2 linked regions of the Caenorhabditis elegans genome follow. The protein of the gene in region 1 purifies or fractionates together with the protein of each later gene. This does not show direct contact. Each region holds a gene or a part of one and is shown in the gene's direction. Other genes may lie near its edges.

Evidence for each region. The genes of interacting proteins can lie anywhere in the genome.
Region 2: the proteins of orc-2 (region 1) and cku-80 fractionate together in Caenorhabditis elegans (co-fractionation; one large-scale study listed by BioGRID). This does not show direct contact.

Annotation. Positions count from the first base shown.
Region 1 is NC_003280.10:10,870,978-10,879,594, forward strand, and holds orc-2 (Origin recognition complex subunit 2), read left to right. Parts: upstream 1-2,953; 5' UTR 2,954-2,956; coding exon 2,957-3,132; intron 3,133-3,766; coding exon 3,767-4,336; intron 4,337-4,391; coding exon 4,392-4,491; intron 4,492-5,250; coding exon 5,251-5,507; intron 5,508-6,044; coding exon 6,045-6,119; intron 6,120-6,222; coding exon 6,223-6,337; 3' UTR 6,338-6,957; downstream 6,958-8,617. Other genes in the region: cyn-4 (Peptidyl-prolyl cis-trans isomerase 4), read right to left, coding at 1-57, 107-485, 542-1,328, 1,375-1,495, 1,551-1,629; copz-1 (putative coatomer subunit zeta), read left to right, coding at 1,935-1,952, 2,016-2,087, 2,146-2,233, 2,284-2,509, 2,564-2,714.
Region 2 is NC_003281.10:4,417,156-4,425,124, forward strand, and holds cku-80 (ATP-dependent DNA helicase II subunit 2), read left to right. Parts: upstream 1-2,692; 5' UTR 2,693-2,700; coding exon 2,701-2,841; intron 2,842-2,888; coding exon 2,889-3,084; intron 3,085-3,133; coding exon 3,134-3,311; intron 3,312-3,357; coding exon 3,358-3,441; intron 3,442-3,763; coding exon 3,764-3,836; intron 3,837-3,886; coding exon 3,887-4,121; intron 4,122-4,166; coding exon 4,167-4,297; intron 4,298-4,742; coding exon 4,743-5,058; intron 5,059-5,110; coding exon 5,111-5,171; intron 5,172-5,216; coding exon 5,217-5,302; intron 5,303-5,355; coding exon 5,356-5,774; intron 5,775-5,826; coding exon 5,827-5,959; intron 5,960-6,012; coding exon 6,013-6,101; 3' UTR 6,102-6,220; downstream 6,221-7,969. Other genes in the region: pdcd-2 (MYND-type domain-containing protein), read right to left, coding at 133-284, 488-506; R07E5.19 (Vacuolar ATPase assembly integral membrane protein VMA21 homolog), read right to left, coding at 515-657, 732-897; R07E5.7 (vacuolar ATPase assembly integral membrane protein VMA21), read right to left, coding at 1,344-1,498, 1,545-1,859, 1,906-2,011; C28A5.6 (Protein kinase domain-containing protein), read right to left, coding at 6,640-6,839, 6,886-7,213, 7,507-7,969.

The DNA of each region.
Region 1 (8,617 bases):
GTTTTGTTGCAGTTTCTTTAGCTTTTTTATTTGCTAATGAAGCTGCGTCCTTAGAAGCTGAAAATAGATATCATTAGTTTTAAAATTAGTAATAGAATTAAGAAACTTTTCTTCAAAATCTCTGCTCTCTCAGCTTGAACTTCTTTCTCAGCTTCTTCAAATGGATCCACAAATACTTCAGCTCTCATAATAACAACTGAAACCATCGGAACATCAGTTCCCTCTTCAGTTTCCAACTTTTCAATCGTCGTTAGTGTATCCTGTCCTCCAACAAGTCTCCCAAAAATTGTGTGCTTTCTGTCCAAATACTTGCACGGCCGGAATGTAATGAAGAATTGTGATCCGTTGGTGTTAGAGCCCTTATTAGCCATCGAGAGCACACCTCGAGCATCATGGGAGAAACCGGAGATGAATTCATCTGAGAATGGCTTATCCCAAATTGATTCTCCACCATGTCCTGTACCAGTTGGGTCGCCTCCTTGCAGCTGAAATTTTTAATTATTTTTTGTTATAACTTTAACTATTTTTATAATAAATTTACCATAAAGTTTTTAATTAACCGATGAAATTTGGTGTTATTATAATATCCATTCGAACAATGTGTGATGAAGTTTTCACAGGCCTTCGGAACTTTCGGCGCGAATAATTCCAGATTCAATGGCCCAAAATTTGTAACAAGCCGCACAAAAGCATTTTTCTTAACTCGGCTGTACCGAACTGTATCATTATCCAAAACAGCTGCTTTATTGCTTGTAACTGGAGCCATTACAGTGGATGTGAATCCAGCTGCGACTTTTCCTTGACTATAATGTGCTGCATTGATCTCATCGGCAGTTTCATCAGTTTCTGTGGAGCTCTTCTTTGGGACATATTCCTTATCCAATTGATCAAGAACTGATTTGCAAGCATTATTCATTCGTCGAATGTAGAATTTTGGATCTTTCATTGCATCTTTTTCTTTTTTAATCTCTTCTGACGTCTTTAAATCAAGCTTCACGTGTAGAAACTGCTCCATATTGAATTTTTCCAAATGATTTGGGTCTTGAAGATCAATTATATCAGCTCTTGTGAACGGAACATCGGTTAGAAGATCCTTGAGATGATTTCTTTTTAAATTCAATTCTTGCACGGCTTCATGAGAATAGACGTTTCCGGAAGTAGCGATGGCCAGAATATGACTGTGGTCCGTGAATGTTCTGAATGTAACTGGGCATCGGAACTTTCCATCTTCTCCTTTATCGAATTTCAAGTGGATTAGATCCTTGGCAACCAACGGTTTTCCTGTACACGGGTTTTTGCCATGCTTCTTCAAGTAAGGAACGATAGCACTGAAAATTTTTTAATAAAAAGTAAAAAAAATAAACAGAAATTTACGTTAAATCGAAAATTTCTCCTGATCTTGCGCAAACTGGGTCTTCAAACGGTAGAAGTGACAGCGAGCAATGGTTGATGGGTAACCTTTTGAACTGTGCTCTTTGGAGTCTTGTTCCAGTATCTGAAATATGAAATTAAATCTTGTTTTTATTTATAACTCGTGTTTAAATAAAAACCATCTTTATGTCCTCCAATCGATTTCCATTCAGAAGTGGTCAGATAGAGTTTATCTTTCTGATGTTGCTTTTTTCCCATTTTATCTGAAAATAATACAAATAAATACTAGTTACATTTATGTAGTTATTAAGCTTAATTAAAATGCCGATTGTTAAAAATTGCGAAAACAAATCGGCTCGTAAATCTACACGAAAACCTAGGCCGGCGGCCGCCAGCCACCTCGGGTCTCGCCACGATCACATGTCGATTTACGCGCTCAATTTCATTGACTATTGACGTGGATTATCTTGTTTCTCAATGTTTTTCCTCCATTTAAATTGTTTTTCAGAGATAAATTTTTAATTTTATAGGTAATATTAGCAAAAGAGAGGATTTGCAATAAGATGGCAGACTTTGACACTGTAAGTTTCATTTGCAGCTTATTATTGAAGTTTTTTTTTTTTAACTAAAAAGCGAAATTTCAGAATCCAACTTCTCTGTACAGTATCAAAGGAATTGTGATTCTTGATCAGGATGGAAACCGTGTTCTTGCCAAGGTTTGTCGTTTATTTCACAATTACCATACAAAAAACTCGAAAAAATATCGATTTTCAGTACTACGACCGTACAACCTTTGGAACTGTCAAGGAGCAAAAAGCTTTCGAGAAAAGTCTCTTCTCGAAAACTTCCCGCAACACTTCAGGTTTGGCTGATTTTTTTTTGATGAAAACAATAAAAATTAAACATTTTAAGCCGATATCCTGCTTCTCGACGGAGTGACTTGCTTGTACCGCTCGAACGTTGATCTGTACTTCTACGTGCTCGGATCGACCCGCGAGAATGAGCTTTTCCTCGACGCAACTCTCACCTGTCTCTACGATGCTGTGTCTGTCGTTCTTCGCAAAAACGTCGAGAAGAAGGCTCTCATCGATTCCATGGACACTATCATGCTGATTATTGACGAAATCTGTGATGAAGGGTTATTTTTTTTTATTTCTAAAAGTATTCAACTGATTTAAAATAATTATTACAGAATTATCATGGAAACTGACGCCCAGGCTGTCGTCCAAAGAACCGCTCTCAAATCCGACGAAGTCTCATTCTCCGATCAATCCGTATCACAAATCGGCTTCTCGTTCATGAAATCTGCCAACGAGCAGTTCAAATGGTCTCTTCTCAAGTAAATGGAATTCTATAAATTATTTAATTTAAAATGTGATATTTATAATCTCTCCAATACTCTTTTGTGAATTAAAATGAATAAACCTCGGATAAAATGGTGTTTTCATTGTAAAAATTGTTGATTTTGTGCTGTTTTTGTTGAGTTTTTGGTTCGTTTTCTTAACGCCTAACTATATTTTCAGTTTAAAGCTTAACATTTCCTGCATGAATCTAAATATCTATTTTTCAATTTTAATTTCAGAAAATGCCACGGCCAAAAATTTTGAAACGAGCAACTGTCCAGCCCAGTGCCGCCGTTCCTGTGAAAAAATCGACTCCAGAAAAAGAAGGATCCAGACAGAAAAAGACGAATGGAAAAGAGAATGCTTCTAGAAATTTGCAATCAAATTTAGAAGAAGATTTGGAACAACTGGGCTTCGAGTATGTATCTATTATCCAGATGAATTCTTGAGCAAAACCGGGTCTCGACACGGCAATTTTTGTTGAAAACAAAACGGGGGTGCGTCTATAAGGAGTGCTGTATTATCACAATATGTGTTCTTAAAGGCGCACAGATCTATTCAGGCGGGTCTCTGCGCGGAAAACAGTATCGTAGTATTTTCTTTTTCTTTAAATTTTTCCGGTTTTTTAATAGAATAATAGAAGGAGAACTAAATACAAAAAACGGAGTAATTTCTTGAAAAATGAAAGTAAAAAACTACCATAAAATTTAAAAGTTTTTCGCGCGCCGAGACTCATCTGAATGATTCGGTGCGCCTTTAATAATGGTAGGCCAAAATTTCGTTGCGGAATTTCCATCGATTTTTCATTGTTTTTTGTTAAAATTTTTTTTAAATAAACAAAAAACTAGGATAATTAAAAGCGCATGAATTTTAACGAACAATCGATAAAAATTCCACAGTTTGAAACTACAGTACTCTTTAAAGGCGCACACCCGTTTGTAATTCAAAAAAAATTGTCGTGCCGAGACCGGGAATTTTGGCGCAAAAATTAGAAAATCTTCCATCTAGCTAAAAATAAGTACATTTTCGAAGCAAATCAATCATTTTTCCAGGGATGAAACTGTATCAATGGCTCAATCAGCAATCGAAAATTACTTTATGCAAGGAAAATCGGCGTCAGAACGAATGAATAATGCGAAATCCCGTCGTGGAAGACGTGCTGGAAATGGAAATACTGAAGAAATTGAGGAAGACGATGAGATCAGTAATGCTATCACTGATTTCACAAAATGTGATCTCCCTGGACTTCGAAATTATATTACCAAAAAAGATAACACGGAATTCGAAAAACGATTGGAGCATCTCGCGGATAATGATTTCGGAAAATGGAAGCTTTACCTAGCAGCTGGATTTAATATTCTTTTGCACGGTGTCGGTTCGAAGCGTGATGTTCTCACAGAATTTGAGAATGAGCTATCCGATTATACATATATGAGAGTGGATGCACGGAAAGATGGGCTCAATGTAAAAGTTCTTCTTGGAGCTATCAATGAGAATATGAAGCTGAATTGTAATGTGAAGAGAGGCCAATCTACGATTAGTTGGGCTCGATCTATTCGCAGAAAAATGAATAGCCAACAGTTGATTCTTATCATTGATAATATTGAAGCTCCTGATTGGAGGTGAGGGGAATTCGCTTTTATTTATGTATAAAAAATTAATTTTAATTAATTTCAGAAGTGATCAAGAAGCATTTTGCGAACTTCTTGAGAATCGGGATTCGGTGAAATTGATTGCTACAGTTGATCACATTTACTCGACGTTCATCTGGAATTCGGTGGGTATCTAAAATTTTAATTTTCGAAAAACAGAAAATTATATTTTTTTGTTATTTAAAATTATTTTTTTCTGTAGAAATTTATATATTTTAGTATGTTTTTTGTTCATAAATATAATAAAAATTTGACAGAGAGAAAAATAAGAGAAAATAAGAAAATCTTAAAAAAATCGAATTAATATTTAATCTGAAAACGGCAAAAAATCGAAAAAAAAACAATTTTGAAAAACAGTCAAATTTATGGCAAAAAAATTTTAAAAAAATCGCTACAGTTGATGGCATTTACTCGAATTATAACCCACTAAAAACATTAAATTTTTGAAAATAACGATTTTTAGATTTTTTTTTAGATTTTCCGAAAAATAGCTTTCAAATAAAATAAAATATATTGTAAAAATGTTTAGTCAATTTTCTTTTGAAATTCTCAATTTTTCCGGAAAAATCAAACAAATTTTTTCTACTTTAAAAAAAAACAAGAAAAATTAGAAAAAACAAACATTCTTAAAAAACATTTTTATTAATGCCAAAAATATGGTTCTAAAATGAAAAATATTTATTATAAACTTTTTTGAAATAATTTTGAATTAAAAACTTTTTATTCATAAAGGCATGGTATAATTTTAGAAATGTAACAAAAAAAATTGTAATTTTTCTATTCTAAATGTGTTTTTATAATTTGTATTTGAATATTCCAGAGGTTCAAAAATATTTTAAAAATTAGAAAAGTTATTTCCAGTTATTTATCTTTTTTTATTTCAGCGTCAACTATCATCACTCTCATTCGTTCACATCACAATCAACACCTTCGAAATTCCACTTCAAGAATTAATGACTGGAGATTCTCGTCTTCTTGGTCTTGATGCTCGTTCGAATCAATCCTCTCATACAATGTCATCGCTTGATGTGTTCTGGAAATCTCTTGCCGTCAATTCACAAAAATTATTCCGTCTCTTTTTCCAAATGTACTTTGACACCAAGAAGCCTGTCAAATTCTGGGATTTGTTCAATGCGGCAAAGTGAGTGGAAAAAATAAATTTTTTCGATTTTTCAGTTTTCTTAAAGCAAAAAATTCAAAACTGGGAATATTTGAAAAAAAAATTCGATTTTTCCCCTTTTTTAAGCATAACCAAAAAACGGAAACTTTGTTTAAAAAACCGAAAAAATCATAAATAATAGCAACCTTTAAAAAACTTTGATTTTTAGAGTTTTTGAGCAAAAAAAACTGAAAAACTAATTATTTTTGATGTTTTTGGTTTTGGGCAGAGCGGGAAATTTTTTTAATTGAAAATACCGACAAAAAAATCTAATTTTTTTCGATTTTTCAATTTTTTAAAGGCCAAACCGAAAAACCTGCAAGCTTGCACAAAGGATGCCCCGAAATATTTTTCGATTTTCGGTTTTTTTTGTGCACAACCAAAAAATTTGAAAAAAAAACCCAAAAACACTAATTTTCGTTCAAAAAAACCGAAAAAAATCTGAAAAAACTTCAAAATTGGTAATTTTTTGAAATAATTTTTTTTGTTTTTCGATTTAAAAAATCCTAAAAATTCCAGAGATGATTTCATTGCTTCAACTGACGCTGCTCTTCGAACCCAACTTGTCGAATTCAAGGATCATCGGGTTTTGAAGTGAGTATCCCCCCCCCCCCCCCAAATAGATAAATTCTCATCTTCCAACCAGATGTCGTTTGCTTATTCAAATATTTCAATTTCAATTCCAAAATTTCTCCAGGTGGACCCGTGGTGATGACGGAAACGATCAGCTGTCGGGCATTGTCGAATTACGATTAGTGACCGAATTTCTCGAATCGAAGAACATGCCGTTAGACGAAAAGAAAGACGAGTAGCTGCTGCTACTGCTGGAGGACCTCAAAAATGAACACACTCTGCCTCCTTTTGACTCAATGTATTTACCTTCAATTGTTTTATTTGTTGACTCTGCGCCCCCCGTCCGTCCGTCGATGCTTCTTCATCCCATTTTTTTTTACTTCAATTGAAACCTCAATCTTCACTTACTCTCATCTGAACGCTCATATTTAAGGCAATAATTTTCATTTTCAAATATATCAATTGAAACCTTTATCTACCGTAATACCAATTTTGTGTACCTTTTCAAAAATCTCATTTCCCCCTCGGTTTTTTCTTCACGATTTCTCAATTATTTTCAGTTTCTCACTATCAGTTTCACATTCCCATATTTGAATGAATCTCATTTTCCAAGTTTTCCCTCTCTCACCATCAAAAACCAAATCCTCTCCCTAGAGTTTCATGGATGTAGTAATATGATACTCTTTCCTGCTCGCCTTCCCCCCAAAAATGGGCTCACAGGTGCCTTTGTTCTAGCTTTTTTAATTGGAAAATTCGGATTTTCCTCGCACATTCTCCCCTAACTTTTTTGATAGAAGCTTTTTGAAATGACAAAATTTTTGTGTGTCTTGGAAGTTTTTGTGTCACTTTTTTCTGTCAAAAATGTCTCCATAGAAGCTCGCAGAGATTAACGATGAGCACTTCCGGCCCACTAGGCTCAGAAGAGCAGTATATCATGTTCCTTTTCTCTTTTTTTTTGCTTGCTGACTCAAGTCAATCAGTATTTAGGCAACAAGGACGAGAAGGACTTTGAATATTTGAATGCGATGAGCATTTTTAAACTTTTTTTTGTTTTTTTTTCATATTATCGCTCTCAGGAACAAGAGAATTTCGAACTCTACAGGAACTGGATCTCAATATTATGGGGACGCAGAACGCGCTCCACGGCCAATTGGAAATGCCCCGCCCCGGAACCATGGGTCTCGTTAGGTGTTTGGCGAGAAAACCGGGAATTCAAACTTTTCCTAATAGTCTCGTTTATTTTTTATTATATTTTCCGTTGTTTCAATGGTTTTTATGCCAATATTGATATAATAAAATTCAAAAACTTCATATGAATTTTTAAAACATCAAGACCCATATAAAAATTACTAAAACCAATGTAAAACATATTTAAAAAATCGTCGAAAAATGATTTAAACATTCGAATTTCGAATTCCCGGTTTTCCTAATATTACCTAACGAGACCCATCCTACTGGGGCGGATCGTTCCGTTGGCCTTAGAGCGCGTTTACGCGTAGACATCAAAAATGGTCAAGATCAAAAATTGTCAGAGAACCCTCTATATAAGTGTCAGTTTTTGTGTCATTCTTCTATGAATTTTGAATTTCTTTGCACTTGTACTTTTCAACTTTCTCTCTTCGTTTTGGCAGAAACTGAAAAAAAAAACTTTTTTCTACAAAGTTTCGTACTTTAATAAAGCTTTCAAATATTTGTATTAACCCACGTGTGGGCGTTCGAAATTGCTCTAAAAGTTCTAAATTGTACTTGCTTATTAAAAATGAGTTTGGACAAAAAATCCCCGCTGGCGCTGCTCCACCTTTACATGAGCACGTGAGTTCCTGTTCGACCCCTCATCATATTTTAATCCAAAACCGTCACGCGCAAATGGTATAAAAGAGCCATGAATCTATCAGGATGGGTCTTGAAGCGAAAAGTTCCGAAAGGCTTTCTCAATCTAGTCGGAAGTTGAAGCAAATTTGTTATAGTCTTATTATTTTCTAAATTCAATTTTTCGTGGTGAGACCCTTCAATTCCCCGATTGTCGACCAAAAGTTCAATTTTTACAGTGTTATGTCTCTTTTAACAGTCCTGACAATTATTTTTTTCTGATTTTTGGTTCACAGAAACCGGAAGCCCAGGCCTTCGCTAATAGTCCAAAAACACGCGCTGAAAAAGAAATCTCCGATCTTTAAGCTTCCAAATCCAAAAATTCCTCTCTCCCATAACGGGATTCCATCAAAAATGCATTCATCTATTCATTATCTGAAGCTTCCAAAAGTGCGAGTTATCCTTCTCGCCTTCTTTTGATTCCATATTGCTGATGACACAGACTCATACACACACAAAAGACATTTGAATAATGTGTGATTTCCTATTTAATTCCATCGTGGTCCCCCTTCATGCCCTCATCTCTTCGCACCGCCTGAATTCAATCAGAATTTGAAGCTTTCGCCCCGCCAAATCAAAATTAAACCATGTTTTGAAGAGGAGCCGTTTATGACTTTTGGGAAATTGGACAAAGGGGCGGAGCTCCAAGA
Region 2 (7,969 bases), on another chromosome or scaffold:
ATATTTTTGTAGTAAAATAAAACAATGATCAAATAAAATTAATTTCTGAACGCTGCAATACGGAAAAGTTGGCAAAATTGAAGATTTAGCTAAAATTAGGTCAGTTTCAAAGTTCTGTTATAAAAAACCTACGTTGCACAACAAATCTGCGGATTTTGGAAGATTTTTTGGATTCAACCATGACGGTTTTCCTCCTATTTTTCCGAGTGGAAGAAATTGCGAACGTAGACGATACAGATCATCTGGCTCGAATTGAACTCCGAATCCCAAGTTTACTGGTTCATCTGAAAACGAGCTATTTTCATGCTGCAAACAAGATAAAGAGAACGGGCAGGAGACTTAGTGTGTATTTTCTTAAATTTATTGGTTAAGTCCGACTTGAAGAAATTTGTCAAAGAATTTAAATTTAAATATTTCGATTGATCAATATACAAGAAATAAGGCATTATTGATTGGGGAAAGTGAAACAGAAAAAATTGCCGAGAACCATGAATGTCGGTTTGCATTGTGTCTTCTAGTCTTGCTTGTTTTCACGCTTCTTGCGATCTTCTTGTTTGGTAGCAGCGAAGAGCCAGATACCCAAAACCACGTGGACGAGGACGACAGCAATGATCGCAGAATAGGTCAAAGCGTCGTTTGCACTGACACCCAGGAGCCCTGAAATAGGAGAGAAAATGGAATTTTATTCATTTTTCAAAAATTAAAAATAATCGGTAGAACAAGCTCTGTACCTTCGAAAAAGAATTGTTTCAAGAGGAACATAGAAGCAAGAGGAACGATGAGAATCACAAGACTATACGTGAGAAGGTTCTTGACAGCGGATTGGACTTCCTGATCACGAAAGTTCGGGAACAGAGTTGCCATTGTTGATGGTTCGGATGAAGAGGAAGTGGTCATTTCGCTGCAAACAACTCGGTATATCCATGGGTTTAAAATCAAATAATTATTATTGGAATAAAAAATAAGATTATTAAGGGGAGAATAGGTTCATACCAAGGTTTCTGGGAGAATCTTACCGAAAATTTGTTTTTTTTTAATTAAAAAAAATCCCGGATATCCCGAGTTGAATCCAGCGGCGCCAAAAGTAAAGGAAATCAAGAGATACAAAATTTGACAATTTCAAATTAAAATATAGTAAAGCGAAAACTACGCTTCAGAGAGAAAAATTCAATTAGTAAGGAAAAAATATAACAAAAAAAATTTATTCGTTATGTACAAAAGCATCTAGCCAGAGGCACTAATATAAATAGAACGGGTCGAAGTGATCACAAATAAGTAAACGAGGTCCAAACGGGAAGTGAATGTTCAGGAGGAATTTTTGAAGAAGATAATACACAGCCACGCTATTCTTTCTTTTTCTCTGCTCTGAGTTTGTCTTCGGCGTCTTTCTCTTCTTTCCATGCAATATAACAGAAAGCGGCAGCAATGAGAATTACGACCAAGGCAGCACATACTCCGGCATAAAGCATGGCTTCTGCTGGTGGTAAATGGAAGTGGTCTGAAACAAATTATCTATAAAATTGATTCTGGAAAAGTCCACTTACCGATGAATACCCAATAATACAAGCTTGCCATAACAAGCAGTGGAAGTGTGAACATCATTGCAGAAAATGCGATGAGCAGAGTTATAGCTCTATTCGAATGCTCTGCTGTGTAGAATTGTTCTTGATCGGGTCGAATCGGTGCTTTCAGTGCCTCTTCTACTAGGTCCTCACCGTCTTTCTCTTTCGGCCGATTTGCGTCGTCTTTAATTGACTGATCAACGAATGGAAGCTTCATCTCCTCTTCAACTTCATCATCTTCCTCTTTCGCCGATTTGTCAGCATTGTCATCCTCGTTTTCACTGACAGATTGACTACCTAAACTATTAATTCACTAAACAAAAAACATATATTTGTAAAATACCATTTTTCTTTTCATCAACAGCTTCAAAACTATCTGAAGTGCTGGATTTTCGTTCAGCTCCGTCGATCAGCTCGAAGTCTTGCTCCTGTTCTGGAGTATCGCTCATTCTGGAAAGATTTAAATACAACCGAGGAACCAGAAGAGCGCATGAAAATATAGAGCGTGTAATTTAACGTCAGTTATTGACAGAGAAAATAGAATTACGAAAGACCAAATCGGGCAACGAGGAAAACGTTTAACACAAACACAACACTGAAAATAAGCAAGAAAAGGAGGAAGTTATCGGAAAACCGAAGAACTTTCAACTTCGGAAAGAACCGTTTAATTTATGTTTAAAATCAAACAAAAAATTCCCGAAACATCCCTTTTAAACTTTGATTTTCACGAAAAACAACGAATGACCGAAAAATGTGATCAATCTCTGAGAGTGTGCACTTTTGCGTGACGGTGAACTGTCCGCGTGCACCAGATTCGACGCGCAAAATAATCGGCGCGAGGTTCGAACGAACGTTCGTGAATTTGTGGGAGCGGTTTTTAATGTTTAAAAATCAGTTTTGGTTTATTTTATTTGAAAAAAAAAACGATAAAAGCTATATTCCAGCAGTATCTAAAATGATCTTCTTTTAATATTCTAATTTTAATGTTTTAAAATTCATTTTTCGCTGCAGCAAAAAGTTGGTGTTTGCGTACAAAACCCGCGCCAGTCTTGAAAAACGCACGCATTATTTATTCACATGTTTCGCAATATTTCCATATGAACTTCTCAACATCACCAATTTAAATTAAGTTACAGGAATGCCGCCTAAAAAGGTATCTCCCGGGATTACCGTAATCCTTATCGACGCAGGATCCAATATGTCTGTGAAAGACACTGAAACTGGAAAAAGTGCATTTGAAAATGCGATCAATGCTGCAGATTGGATTGTTTCGAGAAAAGTGATACTAAAATTCGAGAAAACTTTCAAAGAAAAAATTGTTTTCAGCTATTTTCCAAAGATCCCGAGCTCTTCTCAGTGATGGCCTACAATTTGGATCCGAAAGAATACAAAACAGAAGTTGGCGGTCAAACATTTAATGGAGTCCAGTGTCAAAATGAAAAGTTTACACCAGCCAGCTTTGATCATTTAAAGTTTATCACAAAGGAATTGCAGCAAAATACAGAAATGATAGATCCAAATTGTGAGAGAATATCCAAGACAAATTCAAAAATCCTATTTATTTTTTTCAGTTTTCAAAGGTGTTCTGGGAGCCGTCGCAGTGCTAAAAGATCAAATCGAATCGTATCCGAATCCATCAGGAATCACGTTGATTGTACTGACAAATGGATTAAACGAGAACATTCGACAAGAAAATTTCGATCTTTTAGTTGAAGCCGTTAGTGAAAGTAATGCAGATTTGATGATAATGTAAGATTTTTCCATTTTAGCGTTGAAAAAAAAATACTTATTCCAGTGGAATCGATGAAAATCCAGAATATCCTGCTTCTCGAGTTGCAGAATTGGCAGAAACATTAGAAGGAAGAACATATACTTTTCAGTGAGTTTTTAAAAATAAAATTGGCGATTTTTGCGCCAAAAATACGGAATCTAGACACGCTTTTTGCGAAATGTTCATCGATTTTCCATAATTTTTCGTTAAAAAAAACTGAAATAATGGTTTTTAAAAACACATAAATATTATTTGAGAAATCTTTAAAAATTCCACAACAACGAAAATTTAAAATAACAGTACCCTTTAAAGGAACACGCTTGTTTGTATCTAACAATAATTGTCGTGTCAAGACCGGCTACCGTATTTTCGGCGCAAATACTATAACATTTCGCGCCTGGAGTAATATCATCATAATTACAATTTCCAGAAACGTCGCAAAGATGCTCTCCACCTTCCAGGCTCGTCAGAAATCCGAGAGAAAATACAATAAAATGTGGGATGTAAGAGTTTTTGAAGAAATCTAATCTAATACAATAAAAATAACGTTCAGATTGCTCCTGGAATCCATCTCCCGGTGATTTTTGCTCTAAAATCTGAAAAATCTACAGCACTACTCAAGTTCAAAAATGCAGATTCCGAAGGAAATGAAATGGTTCGATTGGAACAAATGCACGTGGAAACTGACGAAGTTGCTCCGAAAGATGAATTCAAATCGCCGGTTCTGGAAGAGAAACCGAAATTTCAGAAAAACTTTAAACCCGTTGAAAATATAAAAACTATGCATGGTAGTGAAATTCTAAATTTTTTAAAATCTATTATTAATGCGTCAGGCTACAATTTCGGAAAATCGGTTATCATGATGGACCCAGAATATCTTAAAGAAAAATACAATGATCATAATTTCAACGAGGGACAGACTGGTGGAGTGCTAAAACTGATACAGTTCACGAAAAGAGCAAATGTAAGATATGACATGGTCTCGCAACGACGGAGAATGTTAAATTAGAGGCGACGAAAAAAGGGTGTGCGCCTTTAAAGAGTACTGTAATTTCAAAATTTCGTTTCCGTTGAAATTTCATCGATTTTTCACAGTTATAACACGATATTTTGAAATTTGTATTTTAAAATAGACAAATCATGGTCATTTTTTTGAGAAAAAAACCGAAAAACTAATCACGAAATTTTACCAAAAAAATCTCATTTCAGATCCAGTTGTCACAATAATAATTCCGACCAAAAACAAATTTCTCCGAAAAAATCGGTGTCTTACCTCTCTTCTAAAATTAGCATTTTTGAAAAAAAAATAACGTTTTTTTTACTTTTTGGTTCAAAATCACAACAAAAGAAAGATAGCCATTCATAAATCGCAAAATTTCGCATCTCATAATTGTAATAATTATTTCTAGATTCTCGACTCATATCTCCTCGATGCCAGCGCGAAAACAGTACTTCCTGCTCTCAATTCACCAAAATCAGGTGCCACCAAAGCTACCGTATCCCTCATCGAAGCAATGCTTTCACTTCGAGTCGCTGCCATTTGTCGATACACATTCCATGCAAAATCTCATGTGCAACTCATTGCTCTTCTACCACATCAAGATGAAGAAACTGGCGTTTTCTATCTAAGATCAGTGAAATTACCATTTTCCGATGATATGAGAACATTGAAATTCCCGAAATTCTCATTTGACGAGGAAGATGAAGATTTGAATAAGCCTACTGGTATATATTCATTCAGACTTTTGAATTTAACAAAAAACTAATTAAATTTCAGTAGCTCAACTCTCCGCTGTAGATGACCTTATCGATTGTATGCAATTACAAGAAGATGAAATGTTTGAATTTCAGAAAAATATTGTCCAATAAAAAATTGTTTTCAGCTCTTCACTGGTCGAAGGTGGAATGAGTGATCCAAAATTGCAGATGCAATGCCATTTTCTCAAAAGTTTAGTTCTACATCCAAACGGTACATATTCTTGTGAATTCGGTTTAAATGAAATAATATTATTGTCATTTCAGATACCTTCGAAAATCATTCCAATCGAACCAATCAAATTCTCGATCAAATAATGGCACCGAAACGCAGAGTCGAAGCAGAACATCCGGAGATTTTCCAGAAGCTTGGCCGCGAATTCAATCTGCAACCAATTCAGAAAACCAAACGAGAACGGGTTACGGTAGAGCCTGAAGATCTGCAGACAATGATATCCGAATGGACGGAGAAAAAACAGAATATGACACAACCAGATGAGGTAGATGATGGTGCAAGTCAAAAGAAAAAGAAAAAACCAAATGCAAAGAAATTGACGAGAAAAGAAGAAGTTCAAATGGATATCATGGAAGATGGCGGAGCTAGTCGTGTTTGCTCGAAAATTCTTGAAATGATTTCAAATACTTGCAAATTTCAACCAAATGGAGCAGTTACTGAGTTCTTTACGGTATTTTCAAAAATAGATTTTCAAAATAAAACTTTAAATTTTAAATTTACAGCTTCTCGTCAATGAATTGAATGTTATTCGCTCAGTTTTCGTTGAAAACTCAAAATGTGACGAGTTCAATGAACTTCTCAAGAAGTTGAAAGACGAAGAAGACTTTGAACCATTTGCTGAAGTTCTTTCTGAAGGTACTACCATTTCATGTCCACTTTTCTGCCATTCCTCATTCAACAAATTTCAGAAAAATCATGCAATCCAATTGATTCTTCCGAAGTCAGCATGTCAGAAGTCTCCGTCGCCAATGCTGCCGAATTCTGGGAAGAAGATTGAGCATTTTTATTTTATTTTATGGCAATGTATCTCAAATAACTAACTACAATCATTTTAAAGCTGTGAATGAACTGAAATGAAAATAAAATCATACTACCGTATCATGGTGATCACCCAAAGAACGCTTTTTAATGTGAAAGTCAGCATTTTTTTTATTTAGTACGTACAGTGAGAGGAAAAAGTAGGGAAAAGCAAGATGTAGGCTCGTAGGTAGGCGAAAATGTGATGTACCCAAGTGTATCGGTAGGCAGACTGGTAACAATAACAGAGAAGTACTCAAACATCGATCTTAATGTCTACCGACTTGTGTGCATAATGCATGCCTATAGGTATACCTATGCACCTCCCACAGGTTTCAATGCCTAGTTTATCGCCTACATCTAGCCAATGTGCCTGCCTACTATCTTTGACGGAGTTTGTGCCACTAAAATGACGACTCAGGTATTCACAAATTTAAGAAACAAGTTCAGTTTATTCAAATCTTCAATTTCAAGTAATAGATCAAGTTCCGATGGAAGTTTTAATCTTTCTCCTTTTTTCACTTCTTCTCGTATGCTTCCAGTTTATCGAGTTGATCATCTGGGCTTCTATCGCCGGTTGTCTTCTCCCGCTCACTTGACACTTCCCAACCGATTTCCATCTCTCGTTTCTCAAGTCTTTTAATAATTGCCAGATTCTCCTCAGAATCAATATCAGAGAGTGGTTCGACTTCAGATCCAGACGAGAGGGCCACTTCATCTATAACAAGAGTATGACCAACAATTACAATAATAATAAAAAATACCTTTAACAGAAAGAGCAACTAGATTCTCATAGTTTCTAAAATGTTCTCTTTCCTCTTGATCCAAGTCTTCGAAAAACTCAACTTCAGAATCCTCTTCAGACTTCAGACTCCATTTGAACTTCCTCTTCTCTTCTCCTTCATCAGTTGCACACGTAGACGAAGTCCACGTGGATAACGATGTGGCAGACGTAGAATCATATGAGCCTGTCATTGCCGACTGTGTACCAGTAAAATCATGTCTCATTCCCAACAAAAACTCGCGGGTGATCAGTCCGCGGCTGACCTTTTTTCCTCTTCCCGGCTTCGGCTTCGGTGGTTCAGATAATTTCTGAAAATTATAAATTTTCAAAGACTCGTTTATATTATCGCGACGCAGAAACTATAGTTTTGAAATCAAAGTTGGTACGATTGCGCTCCAATGAAAACTCTGCTCACCGGAATTTATATATCGTTAGGTATTGGCGTCAAAAACGTAAATTAAAATTTTCTACTAAAAATTTGAATTTCCGGATTTGCCGCCAATAAATAGTTTCATATTGTCGTGGAGCGCAATTGCACGCACTTTGCTTTCAAACTGCGGCATTCTCTATTTACGTCTCGAGATGGATCCATAATACTTACACTCTTCTCTTCTTCAGTTTTGTTCTCCTTTCTATCCTGCTTCTGTTTCTCCGGATCACCTTTCGCTCGACCTTTTTTATTCTTGACAACATCGGAAGGAGTTGAACGTCTTTCGACACCAATCATCGCCTCCGTTGCACCATCATCATCCTTTTCACTCGACGGATTCCTTTCTGCGGATTTTTCCTTTCTCTCAGCTGATTTCCCAGCCTTCTTCGGTTTCTTTCTCCCATCAGATGAACTAGCTTCTGACATTGGCGAAGAGGTCTGTTCGGTGCAAGAAGATGTTTCAGCGCTTGACCTCTCACAAGAATCCTTCTTCTTCTCACTCTTTGATTTTCTTGCTGCTGCACTTTTCTGTTCATTCTCCTCATCCGATGCCTTCAAATTATCGTGATCCGATTCATCAGCTGCATGCCAATGACCTTCTACTAGATCAATCGCATTATTCGTGTAGAAATCT